3 linked regions of the Rhinolophus ferrumequinum genome follow. The protein of the gene in region 3 interacts with the protein of the main gene of each other region in a biochemical or structural test. Links are inferred from orthologs where the notes say so. Each region holds a gene or a part of one and is shown on either strand. Other genes may lie near its edges.

What was found.
Region 1: of the proteins of IRAK1 (region 3) and IRAK4, one has a biochemical effect on the other in vitro, tested with the Homo sapiens proteins (2 studies listed by BioGRID). The link is inferred for Rhinolophus ferrumequinum from reciprocal best matches to the Homo sapiens genes IRAK1 and IRAK4.
Region 2: the proteins of IRAK1 (region 3) and IRF7 form a complex in vitro, tested with the Homo sapiens proteins (2 studies listed by BioGRID, with this or other methods). The link is inferred for Rhinolophus ferrumequinum from reciprocal best matches to the Homo sapiens genes IRAK1 and IRF7.

Annotation. Positions count from the first base shown.
Region 1 is NC_046293.1:46,386,245-46,394,256, reverse strand, and holds the start of IRAK4 (interleukin-1 receptor-associated kinase 4), read right to left. Parts: upstream 3,034-8,012; 5' UTR 2,947-3,033; exon of another isoform or gene 2,767-2,946; intron 1-2,766. Other genes in the region: pseudouridylate synthase PUS7L, read left to right, coding at 6,909-7,821.
Region 2 is NC_046294.1:361,385-369,200, forward strand, and holds the start of IRF7 (interferon regulatory factor 7), read right to left. Parts: upstream 3,034-7,816; 5' UTR 2,916-3,033; intron 2,705-2,915; 5' UTR 2,412-2,704; coding exon 2,392-2,411; intron 2,309-2,391; coding exon 2,146-2,308; intron 2,058-2,145; coding exon 1,850-2,057; intron 1,613-1,849; coding exon 1,554-1,612; intron 1,462-1,553; coding exon 1,275-1,461; intron 1,136-1,274; coding exon 1,046-1,135; intron 960-1,045; coding exon 480-959; intron 392-479; coding exon 273-391; intron 196-272; coding exon 31-195; 3' UTR 1-30. Other genes in the region: CDHR5 (cadherin-related family member 5), read right to left, coding at 4,108-4,545, 4,845-5,047, 5,460-5,777, 5,873-5,957, 6,034-6,147, 6,235-6,435, 6,539-6,636, 6,793-6,883 and 2 more.
Region 3 is NC_046284.1:6,426,659-6,433,955, reverse strand, and holds the start of IRAK1 (interleukin-1 receptor-associated kinase 1), read right to left. Parts: upstream 3,010-7,297; 5' UTR 2,962-3,009; coding exon 2,826-2,961; intron 2,743-2,825; coding exon 2,575-2,742; intron 2,478-2,574; coding exon 2,346-2,477; intron 2,228-2,345; coding exon 2,124-2,227; intron 1,941-2,123; coding exon 1,752-1,940; intron 1,516-1,751; coding exon 1,451-1,515; intron 1,265-1,450; coding exon 1,150-1,264; intron 389-1,149; coding exon 270-388; intron 1-269.

The DNA.
Region 1 (8,012 bases), on a different chromosome or scaffold from region 3:
ACTAATTTTTGGAGTAGAGAATATATTCATGTGGTACAAAATCCAGAAGTTATAAAAGAGTAAGAAGCAAAAAGTCTCTCTGTATCCTGGACCTCTGTATTAGCATTTTCTTCTCTTTGACCTTCTTTGACCATTACATCTACGTAGGTCTATCTGCCCTCAACCTAAATATCTTTCATTACTGCACAATTTATTTGTAACCATAAATTTATTTGTCCAGTTGTTTACTGTCACCCCCATCAGACTAAGAGTTCCACGAGTTCAGGGACTATGATCATTTTATTTACTAATATATAACTAGTAACTAGCACATTGTAGATAATGGTGTTGTTACATGTTCCTGCCCAGTACCATGCAAGGTGATTTATACACTTCACTTAATCCTCAAGGTGACTAATGCAGTTTTATCATCTCTATTTCACAAAGGTAGTAAGTAAAAGAGCTAGGACTTGAACCCATATCTGACTTCAAAATTCATGCCTTATGTCCCTGCTTCTATAACTCAATGCGTTGTTCATTTCACTCTCTTTTCTAGAAAGACCAGTCATTTCCTTTCTGGCTTTTTCTCAATGACCCATTTCAGGCCCTTGGAACATTTTCCTACAGATATCCCAGTGGCTGACTTTCTCATTGATTCAGACCTTTAATCACCTTCTTTGTTTCCCTCACTCTTCTTTCTCTGTAGTATCTGATCTTTCATGAATTTAAGATCAGATGCAGTCTCCTAAATGTTTGAATGTTTTCTTCTGCATTCCCTGACCATATACTTTTTTCAGGTTTACATTTCTGCTAGATTATTGCAAAGTTTTCAAATTGGTCTTCCTGCGTAAATATACATCCCTACATTCAAAAAAACATACATGTCAGGCTTTGCAATAAGTAACAGGAGCTACAGAGAAGAGAAAATCTTTTGTTTTCAAGCTGTTCAGTCTAGCAGGGGATAAAACAATTACAGTGAGTTATAAATGTTGCAAGAGGTATGTTTTGGGGCCCAGAGAAGGGACATCAAGCCAAGCCCGTCCGAAGGAAGTATATTAAGACAGATTTGGGTGGGTTGGGAGGTTGGAAAGATGAATGAAAAGGAATGAGGATAAACTCAAGGAAACTCCAGGCAGCAGGAACAGCACAGGGGAGCATAGGTTAGGCTCAGGCAAAGGGTTTGCTATGGCTGGACCACAGGATGCATGTCATTAAGTAATAAGAGGTGACGCTCGAGAAGTAGACAGGGCCAAATCATCATGTACCGCATATGCTATGACAAGGAGTTTAAACTTTATACTAAAAGTTACAGGACTTTAAGGAAAGGTGTTATTTGGCTAAGTGGATTCCTCTGGATAAAAAATTGAAGGGATGTATATTTACGCAGGGAGACCAGTTTGAAAACTTTGCAATAATCTAGCAGAAATGTAAACCTGAAAAAAGTATATGGTCAGGGAATGCAGAAGAAAACAGTCAAACATTTAGGAGACTGCATCTGATCTTAACTTCATGAAAGATCAGATACTACAGAGAAAGAAGAGTGAGGGAAACAAAGAAGGTGATTAAAGGTCTGAATCAATGAGGAAGTCAGCCACTGGGTATCTGTAGGAAAACATTCCAAGGGCCTGAAATGGGTCATTGAGAAAAAGCCAGGAGATAGTGAGACTGGAGAGGGAGTAGGAAAGTAGCAGATTAGATGAGAGAGGTAACAGAGCTAGGTCTCTTAGAGCCGTATACTTTGTATTGACTTTGTTGATCCTTGAGCAAGATGAGAAGACAGTGGAGGCTTTAAGAAAAGGAGAGACAGGCTCTAAACTGGTTCTTAAAAGGACACTGGGGCTGCTGCTGAGAATAAAGGCTCCTGGAATAAGGGCAGAGAAGAAGGAAGAAACCAGTTTAGTAGAGTAATCCAGTAGTCCAGGTGGGAGGTACTGGCAGCTTGGACCACAGAGGTAGCAGAGAAGGTAGGAAGACCTAGGATGCTCAATATTTTCTGAGGTACAGCAATGAGAATCCTATTTGCTGATATGAAAGGTGAGAAGATAGCATCAAGGTTTTTGGCCTAAACAAGTTTCCTGACATTTACTGAGATAGAATAGACTGTGGAAGGCACACGTTTGGACTGGAAGATCATGAGCTCAGTTTGGACAGGTTAGAAAGTACACTTCAAAGGAATGTTTAGCTTGCAAACAGGAGAATAAAACAACTCTGAACTTTCTGACAGATCCTTCAAGGCTTACTCCAGAAAGAAAGGGCAAGGCAGAGTTAAATGTTCTCTGTTCTTAGGGTTCCTTGGGGGCAGATGCGTTTTTGAGGCACTAATAAGAGCCATTTGTTCCCATTCTAAATGGCCACAACGCTTCCTCAATTTCTCAAGGTCTGCTTTTTATTTCTGTTTTCTCTCTTGCTTCTAGGCTGTCAAGTACACTTTTCCTATCTGATAATGCACTTATCTGAACCTTACAACTCCTCTCCACTTTCTAATTTCCTGGAAGCTTGGAAGCCAGAGAAACAAACTAATTAGAATCTTAGAATCTTGTGCAGGCTCAGCATGCCTTCCAAGCAACAAGCATCTCTGCTGGGTGCTGGACTTACTTCCTGGTTCTCAGGAAAAAAAGATTTCATTTTGTAAACCCGCACTCAGACGGAACACAACTCATAGGAGTTGAGACTCGGAGAGAGGAACGACTGAGCCACAGAATGTCTGGGTGACGCTTCTCCACGCCCCAGATTCCTCTTCAGGTCCGAGTAACTTTTTGATCCCCAGGGACCCAACCAAGTCTTTACCCTGGATCAAGCTCGGTCCACGCCACCTAGTTCCTCCCGAACTTTTCTCATTTGGAAGATAAGAGGCTAACTTCCTTCCGAAACGGTCCCTGAACAACCCTGGGGCAGGGAGACTGAGGCCGGGGCGCGGACTTCGGACCACCTGCGGTGAAGGATGCGCGCACAGTCGGAAATCCTTACCTGCCCAGACGCGGGGCACAGGAGGCGGACTGCACCCCGCCCGGTAGTGCCCGCCGGTGAGGAATCGGGGCGCGGGGCGGGGCGCGGGGCGGGGCGCGGTGGGGCGGGGCGGGGCGTGACGGGAAGGGCTCCACACGCCAGGCCCCGCCCTTCCCTGCCTCTTGGCCCCTGCGGGCGGCGTCACCAAGTGGGAAAGTCCTAGTCGCTTCTGTAAGTAGGAGCCTGTCCCTTTAAAAACGCCTCCGTCGGAGGCGAAATATATTGTCTTCCGGGCATGCGCACAAGGTTGTGCAGGGGCATGCCTTCACCTGGAGGTGAGGTAGACCCGGTGGAGCATCTAGCGTCATGTGGGCTTCTGTATGGGGCGATGACATGATTGGCGTTGGGACCCCAAGCCTTTGCCCCCGAGCGGAGGGTGAGGTGGACGAGGATTGCGCCTTGGGACTGGCGGGTGTGGGGGAGGGAGGAGAAGCACGGGGAGCTGGTGGCGGTGTCTGAGGGTACTTGTGGACGCGCCAAAGGCCACCACGCCGGAGATTTAAATTCTGCGGGTGGGGGACGGAGCGGGAAGTACGTAGGAGTGAGTTCGGCGGAGCTTCGGCGATTAGTGAAGTAAGAGCGTAAGGGAAAAGGCGCTGTCTTCTCCATTTCTAATATCTTCCTTGTATCTGTCTGTCCTCAACCGGGAATTCACTAACCTTGGGTCAGACTACCTTACCCCTCTCCACCTGGCACCCTCATCGACCAATCGGTTGCGGAGGAACACCGCACAGTTATGCTGAACTCCACGTGGGCTCCTGGGCTCCCTCCCGCTGGGTTCCGCTCTTTTCCTAAGATGCTTGGTTGTAATTCCCTCGTTGTTACACATTCTCCCCGAGTTACTTGTTCTACCCATTGTATTAGCTTAGAATGTCTTCATATCTTCCTTTTACTGGGGTAAGAATTTGTTATTATTATTCCCAAGGCCGATCCTACAACAATAGTCTTGATTACATTGCTTCCCTAACACTGCTTCTGATTCATCCTGTACGGTTCCATCAGGCGTCTTACCAAAACATCATTTTAGATTGTGTAGTTTTCCTACCCAAACACCTCCGGCGGCCATCCATTGACCGCTCTGGATTCTAAGCCCTTGACAGGGCATTCAGTGTCTTAGATAGTTTGGCACTGATCCAACTGTATTTTCCAGAACTGTCCAGAAAACTTTTTCTCCTACAGCTCTGTATCTGGACTGTTCAGTTTTCTCTACCACATTGCATATTTTGTTTTTACATTACTTATGATATGCCTCTGCCTCATTTCTATTGCTTAGACAGTTTTGAGGACTTAGATGGCCACGTCTTGCATTATGACTTTACCAATTATCATAGGCAAAAGCGACCTTTCTTCCTTTTCACTCTTACCCTCTTATTTTATAATTTAATTTATTCAACTATCAGTAATGATTGCATGCCTACTATGTGCGTGACAGTGTTCTAAATGTGAGATAATCAGTGAATAAGGCAGACAAGTTCTTGCTTGGATGGAGCTAACAATCTAGTTGAGGGAGATATACAATAAATAATGAAAATTATTAGATAGAAATACTATGCAAAAAGCTAAAGTTTTGTGAAAGAGAGTGACTTGCCGGTTCCTTTAGACATTGGTCAGGGAAGACCTCGTAGGATGTGATTTGGGAAGGACCAATTTCATCAGCAGCAACAGTTGGTACAAAGGAAATGAAGTCCAGTGTATCTGGAGTATAGTTGGAAATGGGGAAAGGTTACAAAATAAATTTGTAGACTAGACAAAGTCCAGAATCTTAGAAATCTTTGGAAGTCAGGGAAATTTGAATTTCATTATAAATGTGGTTTGAGGGTTTTAAATCAGGTTGTGATATGGATTAATTTACCTTTTAAATCATTCTGGGTGTTACGTGGACCAGTAGTAGAAGCAGAGATTAGAGGCCTTTACAATGTATAAGAATTTATGGAATGAAGTACAAAGTGGAGGTGATGAAAGGACAGCAGGAGTAATCAGAGAGCCAGATGCTTAAAGTTGATGCAATTTTTGGTGATCAGAAAGTCAAGGCTATGACCAAGATGAAGTGGAAGTGGGTTGAGATTCAGATTGAGGAACTGAGACACTGTGATGTTAAATGGATGATCCATATGGATGGTCCTGCAAGTCATGATGGTTAAGAAGACAGGGAACAATAAAGTCTTCAGTGAAGAAGGAAGAGTCATCCCAGGACCAGAGAGAGGATGACAGCAGATGGCAGAGTCTGATGGCATGAACTTCAAAGGAACTGGGGTTTGGGGAGGTAGAGGAGGAAGAAATGGTTTGGAAGGAGTAGTGGCAAACAAAATATTTACAATTTCCAGGTCCTAAGTTAGGTGGGTGTGAAAGGAAAAATGGCTTTCACTTGAGAGGACTACAGAGGAAGCAGCCTGGGGGAAATAGCCAGGTTTCAGTGAAGGCTAGAAACTGAGGAGACTGTACAGGAAATTAAGGAATGAAGGAAAATAAATATATCCCTCTATATTTCCTAAGAAATAAGGATGTAGAGAATTTGCTCTGATTTCTACATGGCATAATAGGATGGAGGAGGGGAGTTTGCTAAATTGTTTCAGATTAGTATAATACATTGTCAACATGGAATGAAGGTCCAGATGATGATTAAATTACCTGGAGAGTGTGGCTGACACAAAGGAATATTACGGGGCCCTGGGCATTTTAGCTTTCCTGTAGCTCCATCTGGTGTGGTAGCCATAGGTTGTGTGAAGAGTGAGTGAAGGCCTCCTTACAGAACTATTCTCTGGTCTGCTGCTTCAAGAAAATCTGTAAGGGTTTCTTCTCTCTGATGACCGTGACAAGGTTGGAATTTCCCTCTGAGTCAACCTCAGAAGTTTGTATCTGTAAAAGTTTTTATATGGGCTTTCAAGAAGGCTTATGGTTCAAGTAATCACATGGCAAGTTGGTATTTAGAGCTTCATTTGTCAATTTGGCCTTTTTCTTCCTGTCTTCTCATCCTTCTCCCATCCCTAACAGCTAATATATAAAAATCTAGCCACAAGTTCTCTGGATTTAGCTGGAAATTTCAGAGGTAGGGTTTAGAAAATCACTGCACACATTGTACACAGTTCTTTGTTCTTTGTGGGCCTACAAGTGACATATATTTTTTAAAGATTTTATTGGGGAAGGGAACAGGACTTTATTGGGGAACAGTGTGTACTTCCAGGCCTTTTTTCCAAGTCAAGTTGTTGTCCTTTCAATCTTAGTTGTGGAGGGTGCCGTTCAGCTTCAAGTTGTTGTCCTTTCAGTCTTAGCTGTGGAGGGCGCAGCTCAGCTCCAGGTCCAGTTGCCGTTGCTGGTCGCCGGGGGCACAGCCCACCATCCCTTGTGGGAGTTGAACCGGTAACCTTGTGGTTGAGAGGACACGCTCCAACCAACTGAGCCATCCGGGAGGCAACTCAGCTTAAGGTGCCATGTTCAATCTTAGTTGCAGGGGCTCTGCCCACCATCCCTTGCGGGACTCGAGGAGTTGAACTGGCAACCTTGTGGGTGAGAGCCCACTGGCCCATGTGGGAATCGAACCGGCAGCCTTCGGAGTTAGGAGCACAGAGCTCTAATCGCCTGAGCCACTGGGCTGGCCAACAAATTATATTTTTAAAGTGAAGTTGAAACTGACTCATTTTAATCCTGAACAATAGATGGAATCCTGGAGTGGATGAAGAGTCAAGTTGCAACTCACCAGTTATACCAGAAAAAGTTTGTATGTTAATTCATTTTGGTATAGGAGGGTCAAAATACACAGGATATATAGAAGTAGATTATTAGTGTCTATTAAAGGAGTCTCAGGATTGAAAGGGAGAAAGAGAATTAAATAAATCCTGCAAACCTATTTCTTTTTGTGACCCACAAGTTTTCTTTCTAGTAACTGACTGCCTCTCTGTTTCTTTTGTAGGCATTGCTATTTAAGAATGGAAGAGGATACAGATTTTAGAATCAGATTTAGTTCTTTGTGTTTCATTACTGATCATGTTGGATTTCATGGCACTATAAAAAGCTCACCAAGTGACTTTGTTGTTATTGAAATAGATGAACAGGGACAGTTAGTTAATAAGGCCACTGATGAACCTATTGACAAGATTAGTAAAGCACTACCCAAGCCAAATAATTTTGCAAAGAAAACAAAACTAGATCTTCAAAATGTGTCCTTGGAAGAGGGAAGCGACCAAGAAGTCAATACTTTGGCTGGGTTTTCCAATGATGACCAAAATCATCAGACTGGTTCAGAAAAGGAAGATATAATCAATGATGGAACTTCCAAATGTGAAGAAGAAAAAGTTGATGTATTAGGCTCTTTGTTAGATAAAAAAACTAGTGAATTACTGAATCAGTTTGCTTGTGCTATAAAAGAGAAGTGGGATTCTAAAACTGAGCTAATTGGACCATCTCCTGAATTCTTACTGGGCACAATCCTTGACAAAAACCAGAGGGCTATTTTGCATAGTGCTATTAGGCAGAAGTTTCCCTTTTTAATAACTGTAGGAAAAAACAGTGAAATTGTTGTAAAACCAAATCTTGAATATAAAGAACTCCTTCACTTGGTATCCGAAGAAGAAGCACTTGACTTTTTCAAATATTTGGATGCAAAGAAAGAAAATTCCAAATTTACCTTTAAACCTGATACAGACAAAGACCACAGAAAAGCTGTTCACCATTTTGTTAACAAAAAGTTTGGAAATCTTGTGGAAACCAAATCTTTTCCTGAACCTAATTGCAATGCTGGTAATCCAAATATAGTGATAACAGTAAGATTTCGAGAAAAAGCACACAAGCACAGGAAAAGGTCTCTTCTTGAATGCCAGGAAAGAAAAGTTATATACACAGGTAATTTAATAAATCATTACCGTTTTCTTTGATAAAAGTAGTTAAAATTGTGAATCAGTGAAAAATCAGTGAAAGGTGAATAATTCAAGTGAATTGAATGGATTTGTCCAGAGGGATATTGGAAAAAATACATGGATCTGTTTTTTGATGGAAAATAAAGTCTTTCAAATTACAATAATTGTAAAAATTAA
Region 2 (7,816 bases), on a different chromosome or scaffold from region 3:
TTTATTCGATTTGGGGCAGCCCCGGCAGCCCTAGGCGGGCTGCTCCACCTCCATGAGGAAGTCCAGGAAGCGCTCCAGGTCATCGTACAGGCTGTTGGTGCTGGACAGGCAGAGGCTCAGGCTGCTGTTGTCCAGAGAGGACACGCCTTCCCGCTGTACACCCTCCACGTGTGCCCGGCACAGCCATGGCTCCAGCTGCGGGGAGGGCGCAATCAGGCCGGGCCAGGCTGTGCAGCAGCCGCCGCCTCCCCCACGTGGGACCCTGCCCTCACCTTCACCAGGACTAGGCTCCTCTCCTTGGGTCTCCCGGCTGACAGGTCCTGCCCAAAGCCCAGGTAGATGGTATAGTGTGGGGAGCCCTGGCGCTGGCGAGCCCGGAATTCCACCAGCTCTGCAGGATGGGGCTCTGGTGAGCGGAGGAGGAGCAGTGTGGGTAGGGGTGGGGAGGGACCGGGTGTCATGCCAGGGGCACCACTGACCTCGGAAAAAGCTGCGAAAGTCAAAGATGAGCGTGTAGCAGTTCCTTTGCAGCAGGCGGGCTGGGGTGGAGGGGCTGTCGCAGCCCAGGGGGCCGCCCACCTCCCAGTAGACCTTACACTTGCCCTGGCGCCGGGCCCACAGCCTCAGGCCCCGGAGCTCGAGCTGCAGGCCGGGGGCCACGTGCTGTAGCAGCTTCTCTGTGTAGTGGAGTTGCTTCTGGTCTGGCAGCTCGGCGGGGCTGGGGAAGGCCACGAGCTGGGGCTCTGTGTCCTCAATGGCTAGGCGAGGGGCCCCATACAGGAGCACGCAGCTTGGGCGCCCAACCACCTCCTGCAGCACTGTTCGGCCCTTGTACATGATGGTCACATCCAGGGCCCCCAGGCTGGGCTCTGCATGGAGACCGAGCTGTGGGCAGCTGGACACTGACAACTGGGTGCAGGGCTCCGCCTCTTGGGGCTGCCAGGGCTCCTGGGCTGGGCCTGCGTCCGGTGGGGGGGGAAAGGCCTGAGCTGGCACCTGGTCCCCCAGCCCCTCCCTCCTCCACACATCCCCTGGCTCCTCTCACCTGTCATTTGGGCCTGGGGCTGTGACCTGGGGCTGGGGGCCATTTCCACTGCCCATGGCAGGTCCAGCTCCCCCCTAGGGAGCTCTGGATCTGTGGAGGACGACCACAGTGGGAACAGCTGTACTGGCTCAGCTGTGGCCAACACCATCCCTGCTAGACATCCCCCCCACCCCCAGGGACTGCTGGCCTGCCTTCCCCTCCCAGGGCACCCCAGCCAACAGCCCCTTACCAGGAGCTTCTGTGGGGCTTGGATCCGCCTCCACACCTTCCAGCAGGTAGTCCTCCAGAGAGCTCTGCTGCAGAGCCTGAAGCAGGAGGTCCCCGGCGGAGCCAGCTGGGCTGGGAAGAGGGTTTGGGGCACAGGGCGCAGGGTTCGGCCTCTCAACATCTACCAGGCATGGCCCGGGGAGCTCACCCTACAGGGGAAGACAGTGCCAGCATAAGGAGCCCCCAGCCAGTGAGAGGTGACAGCCCCCACCCAGGTGCGAGGAGGGCAGAGCCGCCTTACCCTCATGTATTGGGCATCTTCAAGGGCCTGGTCCTCGTCCTGGTTAATGCCTGGACCTTCTGAGTGAGAATTGGGGTGGGGGGAGCAATGGGACCTGAGACGCTCTGCTGGCACATACTCCCTTCGCTGGTCCCCAGAGACCCCACCAGCTCGCCCTAACAACCTGGCACCAACCGCCTTGCCCAGATCTGACCCAGGGGCTGCCCCTCGACAGAGCAAAGTGCTAGCGCCCTTTGCAGCACATTCTTCTGCCCCGCACATCCTGCCTCCCTGAGCGCGGCGTCCCGGGTGCTCACCTCTCCAGCCCATCTCCGAGGTGAGCGCGTAGACCTTATGCGGGTCGACCTGGTCCGCCGAATTGTCTTGCAGCATCACGAAGCGCTGTGTGCTGTGCAGCGCGCACCGGAAGTTGGTTTTCCAGCCGGCCCTGAGCGCGCCTTCGGTGGTCGGAGGGTCGCCTGCGACGCTGCTGAGCGGCCACCTGCCGCGGGCCACGGCCCAGGCCTGGGGACCGAGAAGGAGGGCGTGGGCCTGGGAGCGCGGGCCTGCCCCTGGGCTGACCCTCCCACCCGGGTCGGAGCCGGGGGCCCACCTTGAATATGCGCGAATCGGCCTCTCCCAGATCCTTCCGCGAAAAATGTTTCCAGGGTACGCGGAAGCGCGTGCGAGCCGCGTCCAGCCACCGCAGGCCCTCGTAGCGGCCGCTGCTTACCTCGCCCAAAAGCCAGTCTGCGAACCGTACGCGCGGGGCACCCCTGTGGGCGGAGCAGACAGCAGGTCAGGGAGCCGGCGGTCGGGTGCGGTGGTTGGGCTCCGGGGAGGTGGGCCAGGCTCTCACCTGTCTGGGGCCGCAGCCATGATCCCACTGCGAGGGGATGTGATCACGAGTGGCAGTCAGGTGTTCCCACAGGTGAGGGAAGAACTGCTTATGTGTCGCCACAGGTAGTATGGCCCGATGTCACAAGTGTGGCCCAGTTGTTACAGTTGTTGGGGTCACAGATGTGGGTTGAAGGTTTATGGCCACGACGTTGCCCAGGTGTGGGTTTCTTGGCAAAGGTGGCGATGGGTGTGACAAGAGATGTGGCAGCGCGCACACGTGAAGTCACAGGTGTTGAGCCAGCGTCCAGGCCTGCGGGACGGGCAGGCTGGACCTGCGGAGACAGATGGGAACAGCCGCTGCAGGGCCTGGGCGTCGGGAAAGCAAAACTGCGCGTCGCCGGAAAACGAAACCTAACCCCCCGCTGCGAGGCGGGCGCCTCCCCGTCCCAAAAGCACCCCCGCTGGTCCTCAGCCACCCTCGCCTCCACCTCGAACCCGGAGATGCACCATGTGACTCCGGGGGGTTGGGGTCCCGAATAGTACCTGGAGCCGGAGCCGCCGGGGCAGGAAGTTCCTTCTCCCCGGGAGGCAGGGAACCAGCGCTTTTATACGGGCAGGCAACAGGGGGCGGGGCGGTAGCCGTGGGGCCGGGGCGGGGCCGGGCCTCTGGCCTCAGGTGCAGCCGAGGACGTCCTGCGCTGCGGCGGAGGTTTCCCTGTAGGAGGGGGTGCGCGCGGTGTGTTCCCCGAGCCCGGGTGCAGGCCCTTGGTGGAGGCTCAGACCCCGGCTATGGACAGTGCGGGGAGGGCGGTCGCGGAGGGGCGGCAGGAGGGGCCGGTCTCGCTTGCCTGCCAGCCTCAGCTCCTGCGGCGTCCGGTCGCTCCTCTCCTTCCGGGAGCACCCCCTGCACACCCGGGGCCAGGGGTGGGAGTGGGGGAAATGGGATAAGCTGAGGATTCCGCGGACTCCAAAGAAAACCAGGCACCTCTTCTTGCGGGAGAAAGCGGGTAATAGAGAAGGGCGTGCGACCAGCGGCAGCGTACGGCCGGGGTTCTTAGCAAGATACTCCAACACCCTCGCCATGAAAACATTCGGAAAGGAATTAGTGCTGCTATTTCATTAGGAAAAACGATGACCCACCCACAAGGGACAGTGCGGTGGAGGTGAGGACGGAAGTCCAGTGGAGGGGGCTGTCCCCCACTGTGTGGCCCTGGTTTCCCCCCAGCTTCTGGTGGTGCACTAACCGGTCCCACCCGCCGCCGCTAGCCCATGGCCTGGCCACTGCTCCCGACTCCTGTCACACTGGGCCGCGCTCCACTCGCACCACAGGCCGCTGTCTGGGCGCCTGAGTGCTTACTGCTCCCGCGGGCCCCACACCTTGTGCCCCCCGGAAGGTCCTGGGACCCTGCTCTCCGACTGCTCTTCAGGGCGGCTCCTGAGCCGCCCCCAGGCCGAGAATCTCCGGGTTGGGTCGGGAGGGAGGTCTCCCCAGTGCAGGGCGCCCTCCTCCGGCGGCGGTTACTCCGAGAGGAACTCCCGCCGCCACCTGGCACGGAGCCCGGGAAGCCCCGCGGCTGGCGGCGGAGCAGGTGGTTTACGGGAAGCGGTGCCCGCGCGCTTCAGGGCAGGGGGCCCGCCCCGCCCGCCCTCTCCGCGCCCCATCACCCGCGCCAGCGACGCCTCGCCCGCGATTCGGAAATGTCACTTTATTCTACACAATGGCGGGGGGGGGGCACTACATGAAGGTAGAGTCGGCGCTGGGCGCGTCGTCGTGGGGACCCCCGCCCAGGTCCGCATCGGCGTCCTCGTCGCCGCTGCCCTCGCTGCCGGAGTCGCCGGCGCCGTCCGCGTCCGAGGCGGGCGTGTTGAGGACCACCACGTCGGCCTCGGCCCCGATGTCCTCGCCGAACCACACAGCCTTGTAGCCGCCCTCAGGCCGCCGCTCCTTCGTCAGGATGGACCTCACGCCTTCGGGCCCGCCTCCATCCCGGGCTGCCGCGGGGGACTCGGGGACGCGGCCGGGGCGCGGGGGGCTGGGGGGCGTGGGAGGCGCGGGAAGCGGGGACGCCGGCGGGTCCGCGGGCAGGGTGCAGTCGGGGGCGGGGCTGGGGGCTGGCGCCCAGTTGGCCTCGTTGTCGGGGACGAAGGCCTTGTTGTCAAAGCCGCTGGGCTCCTGGGGAGTGGGCCGGGGAGTCAGGGTGTCAACCGGGACCCCCGCCTGGGCTCAGATCTATCGTTTCCCTCCCTCCCCAGGGACTGGGATCCACGCTAGCTCCTCCCCTTTTCTCTGCTTCTCTTTGGCCTGTGGTGTCTACACCTCCTCACTTTTGCTCTCCAGCTTTCCGGCCGATTCCTGGTCTCCATCCTGCCGATTCTCCACCTCCCACTTCCCGATGCTGCCCTCACTCTCACATCCCTGCCTCTGGTTTCTGTCTCTCCTGTCCTGCCCCCCCCCACCTCCCCAGGCCTCACCAGAGCTTTGCCAGAGCAGCAGGGCAGCTGGGGGCCATAGTGCTTGTGGATGAGGATGAGCAGGGCCAGCAAAGCCAGGAGCAACAGCCCGCCCAGAACCCCTCCCAGGGCCCCCATCTCTGCTTGTGAGAAGCGCTGGTCCTCAGCATGGCTGCCACCTGGCTGGTCAATCCCCCCAGTGACGCCTCCTGTCCCCGGCGAACCTGCAGGCAACAGGACCAGCCACTGTCAGCGCAGCACCCAAGCACAGTCCGTGCCAACCTGCGCCAGGCTTAGGGACACAGAACAAGCCAGGCTGCTGAAGGGAGGGAGGGCCAGAGGGGTCTGTGCCAGCAGCTCCAGGTGGGAGGCGGCGGTTCCACCCAGAGGGAGGCGAGGGCAATGCTGGGAGCACTGGAGTGGACGGCCTGGGAGTTGTGGGGTTCAGTGATCCCAAATCTGCACTTTCCCCAGTTTACCTTCTGGGGCCCCCAGGACCTGTCTGTCTCCACCCAGACCAGAGCCACCAGCCCCGTTGGGATTTTACAGTCAGCATGGCCACCTGCCCTACAGTGACTCCTAGGACTGTCTAGTCAGGGAGCGCGAGCATGACTCTGGGACATCTGGGGGTGCTACCTGGGAGCTGGGGGGTCCTGCTAGATGCAAGGGACGTCGGCCGAGAGGTTCCTGGCTTCGGGGTCTGTGTTGAGCCCCCGCTGGGTGAGGCTGATGGGGGAGAGGTGCTGGTCCCAGCACCGGGGGTCCCCCCAGGCGTGGACGAGGCAGGTGGCCTCAGAGTTGTGCCTGGGGTGGGGCGCGGACCAGTGCCCCCCTCAGAGCTGGTCGTGGAGGATCCCTGAGTAGGCCCTGGGGGGCTGGGGGCTTCCGAAGTGGTGCTGCTTGAGGGCCGGGTTGTTCCTCCAGCCTCTGGGGCTGTGGGGGGGACAGGGGGGCCTAGGGGCCAGGGACACAGTTTGGGCTTGCCTCTGTTGCCAGCATGCCTGTGACAAGAAGCCCTCCCTAAGGGTCACCTGGGCCCCCAGGCTCACCTGTGGGGGTGGTCTCCTGCTCCAACACTTGAATCTCCACGACGGTGGACGCTGTGCCTGATGTCACCGTGTTGTTGGCCTGAACCTGGGGCAGGAAGGGGGCTTGTCCCTCCTAGTTCCCCCCTTAACCCCTGCCCTTAGAGATGCTACCCGCTCCTCACCTCCGCGTAGAAGACCCCCGCCAGCGCCAGCGGGGCGGCCGTCAGCACAGCCTCCCCATTCATTCGGAAGTTGGAGTTGTTGGTGATTTTATATGTGATCGCTGAGTTGAGGTCCTGGACACAGTCCTGGTGAGCGCCAGGCCCCCAGAACCCCCGAACCCACCCCAGAGGAGAGGCCAGGTAGACCTAGGCAGGGCCTACCGGGAACTCGGGGTCCTGGGCTCGGATCCTCAGAAGCTGGGAGGGGACAGCTGCGTCCTTGACAGCCACGCCCACGCCTGAGCCCAGAGCCACTGTGCCTCGGTACAGGCTCAATGGGAAACGGGGGAGGCTCCCTGAGGCATTTCGGGCCTCCACCGTGACCTTCGTCACCGAGTATCTGGCGTGGTCTGCCTGCTCGCCCTGGGGGTAGGGGGAAGCTGCAGTGACCAGAGGGTCCTTGAAGGGTGAGCCCTGCGGCCTGGGGTTCAGGAATGGTCTGTGGAGGCCTGGCCAGGAGACCCACTTTGACTAGAAAAACGAAGGTCTTGGGACTGGGGACGCTTCTGGTCATGGTGAGGTTGCCGGAGTCAGCGTTGATGACGAAATTGCCTTCTTCGTGTCCTGAGAGGGAGGTGGGCGGGTTTAGTCCTGTCCCCTTCGAAGGCCTGAGGTCCCAACTGGCTTTGCCACACGGCATGTCCCGCTGGGTGGGGATGCGGGTGGGCCCGGTTGTTTGGAGACAGAAGCCGGGGGGGGGGGGGGGGGGGGCCCACTCACCCGCCAGGAAGCTGTAGATGATGCGCTGGTTGATGCCCCGATCCCCGTCCACAGCGTAGACGGGCCCAGGCTGCAGGATGAGGGGGCCCAGCTGCGGGACCCAGAGGGTGGGGACGTTGTGGGACTGGTGTGAGTGCCCCAGCTCGACCCCGCCAACTCCCCTGCAGGAGGCCTGCACCCCCACGGGGGCCTGCCGGACAGTCCAGTCGCAGGCACGATTACACATCACACCCCTTTGGACCCGCTGTCAATGAGTCATTTTGCCCAAACATTCGGTTGATCTGAACAGTGTGTGTCTCAGGAGCTGGCAGGTGCAGGGGACGTGGGGACGTGGTTGCTTGCGTGGAGAGCTGGACCCTGCCCCCCAGTGCCTAAGTGTGCCCCTCGTGGCACGAGCAGGACGGTCAGAGGTGCAGCTGCCCCTGCTGAGTGCTGCGTGGCCCCCCAGCGTCCCAGCCCCTCACTGGGTCCCTGGCTGTGCCCCCAGGACAGCTGGGCCGTCCCCCTTATCCTAATCTCAGAGGAGTTTGCTGGCCACTCACCACCACAGTGATGGAGCAAGGTTGGAGCACAAGGGAATGTTCACACATTTGTTTGAAAATCACAACAGAACTGGCTGCATGGCACCCAGGCCCCACCCCCGGTGCCGACAGACCCTGACCCTGACCCTGACCCAGCTCGGGACGTGGCCCTGCCCTCCCTATCCCCAGTACCAGTTTGTGGCCTGTGGGGATAGCCCCACGATACTCGGCGTGGACGCAGACATAATTGTCAGAGTAGATGCAGGGCAGGAACCAGGGAGGCCGCAGGTCGGCCGGCTGCACCTCCAGGACCAAAGTGGCGTTGTCCGTGTGGCTGGGCACCTCGTTCTCCTCCCGGGTGTCCTGCAATAGCCAAGCCCTGCCAATCAGCCCGGGAGCCAGGGCTGGGGTAGCGTGGGTGGGGGTCCGGGACTCAGAGTGGAGGTGGCCTGCTTACCCGCACCAGCAGCTGGAAGGTCATGTGCGGCCATTTGTCGAAGTCC
Region 3 (7,297 bases):
TTGGACTCCGCTTCCACACCTGTCCCACCCATGCCAGTTACTCGTTACCCAGGGCCCCTAGCTCTGACGTCCCGTCCCAGGGCTGCACCATCCCCACCTCTGCCTCGAGCAGGAGAGGGCAGACCTATTTTCATGGGGGCACTCAGGGCAGGGTTCCTGGGGACCAGACGCTCTGCTGGTGGAAGGTTTGGGGGCATCATGGGCTTGCCATGGACTCCGCCCCTGCAGCTCTCAGGGGACCCAGGGGACTAGCTGTTTCCCCTCCTCACCTCTTGACGTCTCCGTGGATGAGGCTGGGACTGTCCTGATGTAAAAACTGAATCGCCCGGGCGGTGCCCAGAAGGATGTCCAGGCGCTGAGGCCAGGAGAGTGGGGAGCAGGCCCGGGCCTGGAGCAGCAGAGGGAGCAAAGGGGCACAGGGGGTGCTGGGCGCCACCATTCCTTGACCCCAACCCTCCCTCCACCTGTCACCACGGGGTCTGGACAAGCACTTCACTCTCTGGGACTGTTTCTCCTTCTGAAAAATGAGGAGCAAAATCTCCATGAGTTATATTACAAGAGGAGCGAGATTAAGCTATTCCCACTGCTTTGTAAAGCATGCTGGGAAAATGGCTGAGAATGTGCTTTCCAGAGTCATCACAGAATTCCGCGGTCCTCAGTTCCTGAAGTTCATTCATTTGTCCCAGGGCGATCAGGATGTCACTGGAGGCTTTCTCTCCACTTCTCCCAACACAGTGTGCAGTTCGCCCTTGAGTCTTGTGGGTGTCTCGCTAGACAGGGCCCAACTGTGGGTCCAGACAGTGCAGCCTGCTGCCACTGCCCCATTTCCCCAAGAGCAATACTGACAAGACCCTTCAGCTACTCTGCTTGCAAAGGGAAGAAGCCCGAGTCAGGTTACTCGGAGTCAATAACCCCATTTTCAGAGGTACCATGGTCCCAGGCTCCTGGGCACGCAGAACAGCCAGGAAGAGGCCATGGGAAAGAGTTCTGGGGCAAACGACATCGCACCTTGGGCCAAACCCTGAGCCTAGGCCCTGCCTGCCGGTGAGACCCACTCACGGAGGCTGAGAGCTCAGGCGCTAGGCCCCATGCCCCACACCACTCAGACGCTGTGGGTCTGGGGAAACGTGCCGGGCCAGGTAAGACTACCTGGAAATGGAGGCGGTCTTCCAGGGAGCCATTGGGCAGGAAGCCATAGACGAGGCAGTAGTAGCCACTTTGAGCACAGTAGCCAGCAAAGTCCACGATGTTTGGGTGACGAAACCTGCTTGGAAAATTGGGGCCTGAGTGCTCTGCCACCCAGTCTCCACCGCGCTTTCCATATGGCTGTGTCAGTCGGGGGTGGGCAGTCCCTGCTGGTTTCTCAGCTAGGCTGGGCATGGCAAGCTTCGGGGGCCTGAGGGAGCCAGATCCCGTGGTGCATGGTCCTAGAGGGACATCCCAGGCTCACCGTGACAGCTGCTCCACTTCTGTCAGGAAGCTCTGCTTCACAGTGGTCCACTCCAGGTCTGCCTCCTGGAGCCCCCAGGGAAAACGGGGGAAGAGGGGCAGCATGAGGCTCTTGCAGCCAAGGTTCGATGGCCACTCCCAGTGCCATCTGTCCTGGGCCCAGAACAACCAAGGGGCTGGGGGGGGGCTTGAGCTGGGGAATCAGAGGGCTGAAGGAGCTGTGTGGGAAGCAGGGGGTTGGACCAGAAAAGTGAGGGTCTGCTGCTGGCCCTCCAGGGCCCTCGCTGGGATGCTAAACCCACCTCCTTCAGCTTCTTCACTGCATACACTGTGTTCCTCAGCACAGCCCGGTACACACACCCAAAGCCACCCTCTCCGATCTTCAGCTCCTCTGAGAAGTTGTGGGTGCCCTGGGAAATCTCATGGAGGGGCCAGCAGAATGGAGAGGGGTGGGTACCTTGCAGGAGGGACACTGGGTTCCCTGCGCTCTGCTGTGGGAAGAGACCCCAATCAGGTAAGGTCCTGTCTCCTCCCCTCTGCCCTGGCCACAAGCTACCTCCATCCCAGTTGCCTCCCAGCTGGCCCTGCTGGGCTGGCTGGGGATCCCTGGTGTACCAAAGACTGGGTTTCTTGTTACTTGTTTGGAACCTTTCCTGGGGACAGGACCCACCTACCTTGGTAGAAGAGGATAGAGGTGGTGGTGGTGGTGGCCGGAGGGCAGCAGGGCTTGGGACACGGCCGATCTCAGGCCCAGAATGAGCCTGGAAGCCTGGAAAAGCTTCGTAAAGACACCAGTGAGAGGCAGGCAGAGACCAGGGGCAGGATCTACAGCCATGGCCATGGTCAAGGTGGCCCTTTTCTCAGGTCCATCAAGCCCAACACTAGGGCTGTCTTACCTGGGGAGAGGAGAGTGGAGGCTGACGACTGCAACTTCCCGGGGCTGGGGGCCTCTGCTTCAGAGGGTGCAGAGAGGCTGCTGGGTCTCGGGGAGGTGGTGCTGGAGGGTGGGAGGGGGGCGGGAGGGTGCCCTGGGACGTCAAAGACAGAAAGGATGGTTAGGCCCAGGCAGGGGGAGGGGCCCCGTGAGAGGCCTCCGGTCCTGGGGTCCCGGAGCCGCGCACTCACAAGCCGTGATGATGTCCCGCGCGCGGAGCAACTGCAGGTGCGTGAGGATGCGCACGAGGTCGGCCACGCGGGCGTTGCGGTTGATCCAGGGCCACAGGACGCTGGCCGTGCGCTGCCCGGAGCGTTCGCACAGCCGCAGCTCGGTCTGGTCGCGAACAATCAGGGCGGCTGCGGGGTGGGGTGCGTCAGGCTTGGGCGCTGGGTCCCGCGCGCCCCCCGCCCCGCAGGTCCGCCGGCCCGACGCCACCCACCAAACTGGCACCAGTCGCTGGGCTCCAGGGCGTCCATCACTTTGTAGAAGCGGCACATGACCCAGGGCGGCACCTCGTACAAGAAGTGCTGTGCGCCCGGGGCCGCGGCTTCCTCCGGGCCCGGCCCCCCGGCCATGGCCGCCGCCGCTGCCGCCGCCGCCGGGCCGGGGCCTCTCGGGGCCTTCCGGGGCCACGGCGGGCGCGGGCCTCGGCCGGCCGGGTCCGCAAACACTGACTCACTTCCCCTTTAAGCCGTCCTCGTGCGACGCCCGCCGGGGCGGAAGGGGCGGTACCCGAGACTCCGCCATCTTGCCCGCTGCCGCGGCCGCCGCGGCCACCGCGGCCCTCGGCCACACGGGGGCGCCACAAGCGGTCCCTTCCCGCGGAGGCAGCGCCACTGCGCGGGGCCAGGCGGGCAGGGCGGGCTTCCAGGAGGAGGGGTCGTCTGAGTGGGGCTCTGACGGATGGAGGAGAGCCGTTCTCAGCAAAGAGGACGGAGGCCATGAGGACGTCAGCCGCTGGGACGTCCCCTTAAGACGTGTCGACTTTATTTGGAGACAATGGAGAGCCGTCAGAGATGCTGGAGGGACAGGGTCAGATGGGGGTTCCACAAAGGCCCCACTCCCACCCCCTGCTCACTCCCGTCAGCTGGCCCGTGAGGTCGGGTGCAGGGAGAACGGTTTGGAAGCTCGTACCCGCAGGCTGCCCCGGCTCAGAGCATTTCCGCCCACCTCCTGTGCCCTGGATCCCGTCTTTTCCCTCCTGCAGGCACCTGCATCAGCAATTGTTACCTCGTAGCAATATCTGCCACTCTTCCTTCTTTGCTGGCTCCTTCCCACTAGCACATGAACCGTGCTTGTCTCTCTTAAAAACAAGGTTTCAGCTCCTCTTGTCCCTCTTCCCTCTCGTGATCACGTTTCTGGCTCAGTCTGCGCTCCCCCTGCGAGGGCGGCAGTCAGGCCTCTCTCTCCCACTCTCTTTTCTGAGGCAGTGGCCAGGCACCAAGCTCAGTTTGGCGTCTGGGTCATATTTGTCTCTCTTGCCCATTCCCATAGTGCTCTGCAGCCTCCATGGCTCCACTCCGCATCAGCAGCCACTATGTTCCTGTCTTCTCCCCAAACATGTCCGGAGTCCATCTCCTCCCCATGGGCCCACTGCCTTCACTACTACCTCTTACCTGGATGAATTTGCCGGCTCCCTCATGGCTTCCGCGCCTCATGTCTGCCTGGGTGCTCCTCCTCTGGCACAAATCAAGCCACAGGGCTTTCCTGCCAAAAGACTCCTGTGCTTCCCGGAGCCTTCTGATGGGTCGCAGCTCTGGACTGCAGCCTCCATGGCCGTCACCACATGGCCCCTGCACACCCACCTCATGTCTAGCTCTGCACACACCAGCAGCCGTAAGCCATCCAGAACTCCTTATGATTCCGAGAAAGCGCCAGGCCTTCTGTGTCCACGAGTTAGCACGTGCAGTTTCCTGGCCGTCATGTGACAAGGTTGAGCTCAAACAGCTCTCCAGGTGGAAGCTAGGGTGCAAGCTCCCTAGGGCCCTGTGGCAGAGCTGTCTGCAGCCCCCGCTGTGCCTGGCATCTCTGGTGTGCCCTTCTTGAGCCTCCCCCAGTAGATGGGGAAGACCCAGCCAACAGTACCAGGTGCCTTCTTCTTTTGTTTCTCCAGCTAGAGGCATGCTTGTTGCAAGGTAACAGTTCTTCCCTGACCGTCCATCCCCCTTGTCCTCTCGATTCTGACCCCAGAGGGCTCCCCACCCCAGGTTGTCCTCCCAGGGACTCGGGGATGTTTGCAAAAACCCGCGCCCAATATGGGCGTCCATTGGAACCTCTTCCCAGAAGTGTCAGCCACTCCCACAGAGGGGGCCACCCATACCCTGAGGATGGGAATTACCATGCGGATACACACACACTGAGCTCTAAGGGAACAGACGCTTGGCCCTACTTGCTCACTGCTGGACTGCAGCTCCCTGGACAGGCCTGGCACACACAAGATGCTCAGTGCACACAGGTTGAATTTCAACCCTTTGTTTTAACGTTTAAGGCCAAGGCTTTCGAGTGCACCTTCTAATAGGTGCGTCCACCTTTGCGCGTGAAGCTGGACACGGAGCAGTTGTCCCCTCCAGCCCAGCAAGGGCCTGGTGAGGATGACCGTGCGGGGCAGACAGCTCCAGAGAGGCCAGAGCCTTACGGGGAAGCCAAGGGGCACAGGCAGGGTGTGACACCTGCAAACCCCAGTGATGACAGCGCCCCCCTTGGGCAGGGAGCCAGTTCAGCAGAGGCTATGGGAGGGTCTCAGGTGGTAGGCACAGGAGGAGCCTGAGCTGGGAGTGGGCTGTTTTTCCAAAAGCACCTGGGCACATCCCGACCAAAGAGGCACCCCTACCGTGGCCCTCAGGAACAGGGAGGTTGTGCCACTGTTCTGCAGCCCGCCTGCCTCTTGACCTAGGGCACGGCGGGCAGATTTGTGCCAGGCCCTTCCCAGCCTGCCACCCAGAGCTTCCCCACACATGCAGGAGCAGTGTGCCTGGCAAGGGCGGCCTTGGAACGCCCAAGGGGAGGTGGTGTATGGAGCAGGCTGCCCTCTCCTCTCAGGGCGGTCCTGAAAGTGGCTGGCTCTCCTCTGTTCAGGGACAGCCAGACCGAATCAGGAAACACACCACCATGCTGTCCTGTGAGCTGTCTGATAATGAAAGCCCAGACCTTGAGTCACTTTCACAGAGAGATTTATCGAGAATGCTAACAGCACAGGATACAGTACTTCCCAACAAAAGGTGCAAACGCGTCACTTAGAAAGGCATGCTGAGTAGTCTTTGCTTTCACACGTATTAAAAAACTTACAAAAATAAAATAAAACTGCGTGCTGCCCATCTTTTCAAATAGTAAAAGAACCTTATGAAAAAATCACTTGATTTTACAACAAAAGACACAAACGGACATTTTTATGTAAATTTATAAGGCAAACTCTTTATATAATAAATAGGTTACAGGGATTCAGTGGGGGGTGTTTTTGAAACGTATACAGGTACATTCAGACAGGTTTACTGAAATGGTACAAATTTCCTTAATAAATTGCCTTTTGTTTTTAAATATATCAGTGCTTTCAGTCATTTGGCTATACACAAAGAACCTTTTTTTGAACACTACAAAAAAGCAATCAATATTTTTTGTTTTTTAAAACGACCTACTTATTTCCTAAAGTAATTGTCCCAAAACACAAAAACTGAAGGTGAATGTGATAGAGGGCTTTTTGAGACATCTCCAGCCAAGTCTGTCCTGGGCGGCTCCCCGCGCCTCACACATACCTCTCCCACCCTCAGCCGGGCTTCCCTCTGCACAGGGTGGCTGGCCTGTGTCACTGAGACTTGGGGGGGGGGCAGCCACCCTGCCTGGTTCTACCCGCTACCAAACCCCACGTGCAAATGGTCACTACAGTGAGTACTACCCTCACCTTCGGGAGGAGGTGCCGCCTGGCGCGAAGTGAGCACATCTCTGTCCGTTCCGTGAACCCAAACCGTCTGGTGGGGGGAACAGCTTCTCTGAGAAGGGTCTGGCTTTGCCATGGAAAGGGAAGGGGGGTTCTCACGTCCAAATTTTGCTGGGAATTGGATGACAGCTAAGAGAGCGCACCCTCCGCATCTCATCACACGAGATGGTGGGGACTAAGATAAGAGGTCACGTTAGTGTGGGGCGCTGCGGGACGGGGTGGGATGTGATGGAAGTGTCCTACTAAACGGTAATGCCCGCTACCTGGCCTGTCCAGAAAGAGCTGCGTCAGGCGAAGAGTGGCCAGTCTGCCCCGTCAGCATATACCTGACCTGTGGCCACAGCAGAGGAGGTCTCCAGGGAGGTGCCCACCCTTCGTCTGAGCCATGGCCGTTCAGGCCCACCCCAGCCTCCTACCAAGGCCAGGCCGGCCCTGCTCACACCCTCCTGACTCCCCTCGCAGGAACATGAACCTGTCTGTTCTTAAAAATAACAATGATGCCAATAATCTTGGGGGGGGGAAGGCAAAAGAATCCACCGGGTGGAACAAGACCTGGTTTTGCTCTGACTTTGAAAATGGCAACACATCAGCTATTCGGTCCGCTGGCATAGGCTTAACTCCTTTGGGTGGCTTCTGGCTGATCTGAGCGGGGGCCATCTCTCTGGATCTCCCCTCCTGGGAGGGGACATAGGACAGCCCCTCTCATCTTGGTCACCATCCCCACCCTCCGAATTCTTTTGTTTGTAAAGAAAAGGTGTCTAGAAGCATTTGTCTCTGGAACAATTACTTTAAACATGGTTACAATACAGACTTCAGTTCAAACACAGAAGAGATTTACTTAGCAAAGTTCCTTTCACCCACCAAAAATTACACAAATATAAGCCTCAACACCACAGTTAAGAGGACCAGTAGAGAGAACCTCATGTTTGGAACACAAAAGGGGAAATAAAAACCAAACCAAACCCAAACAGAAAACCCCC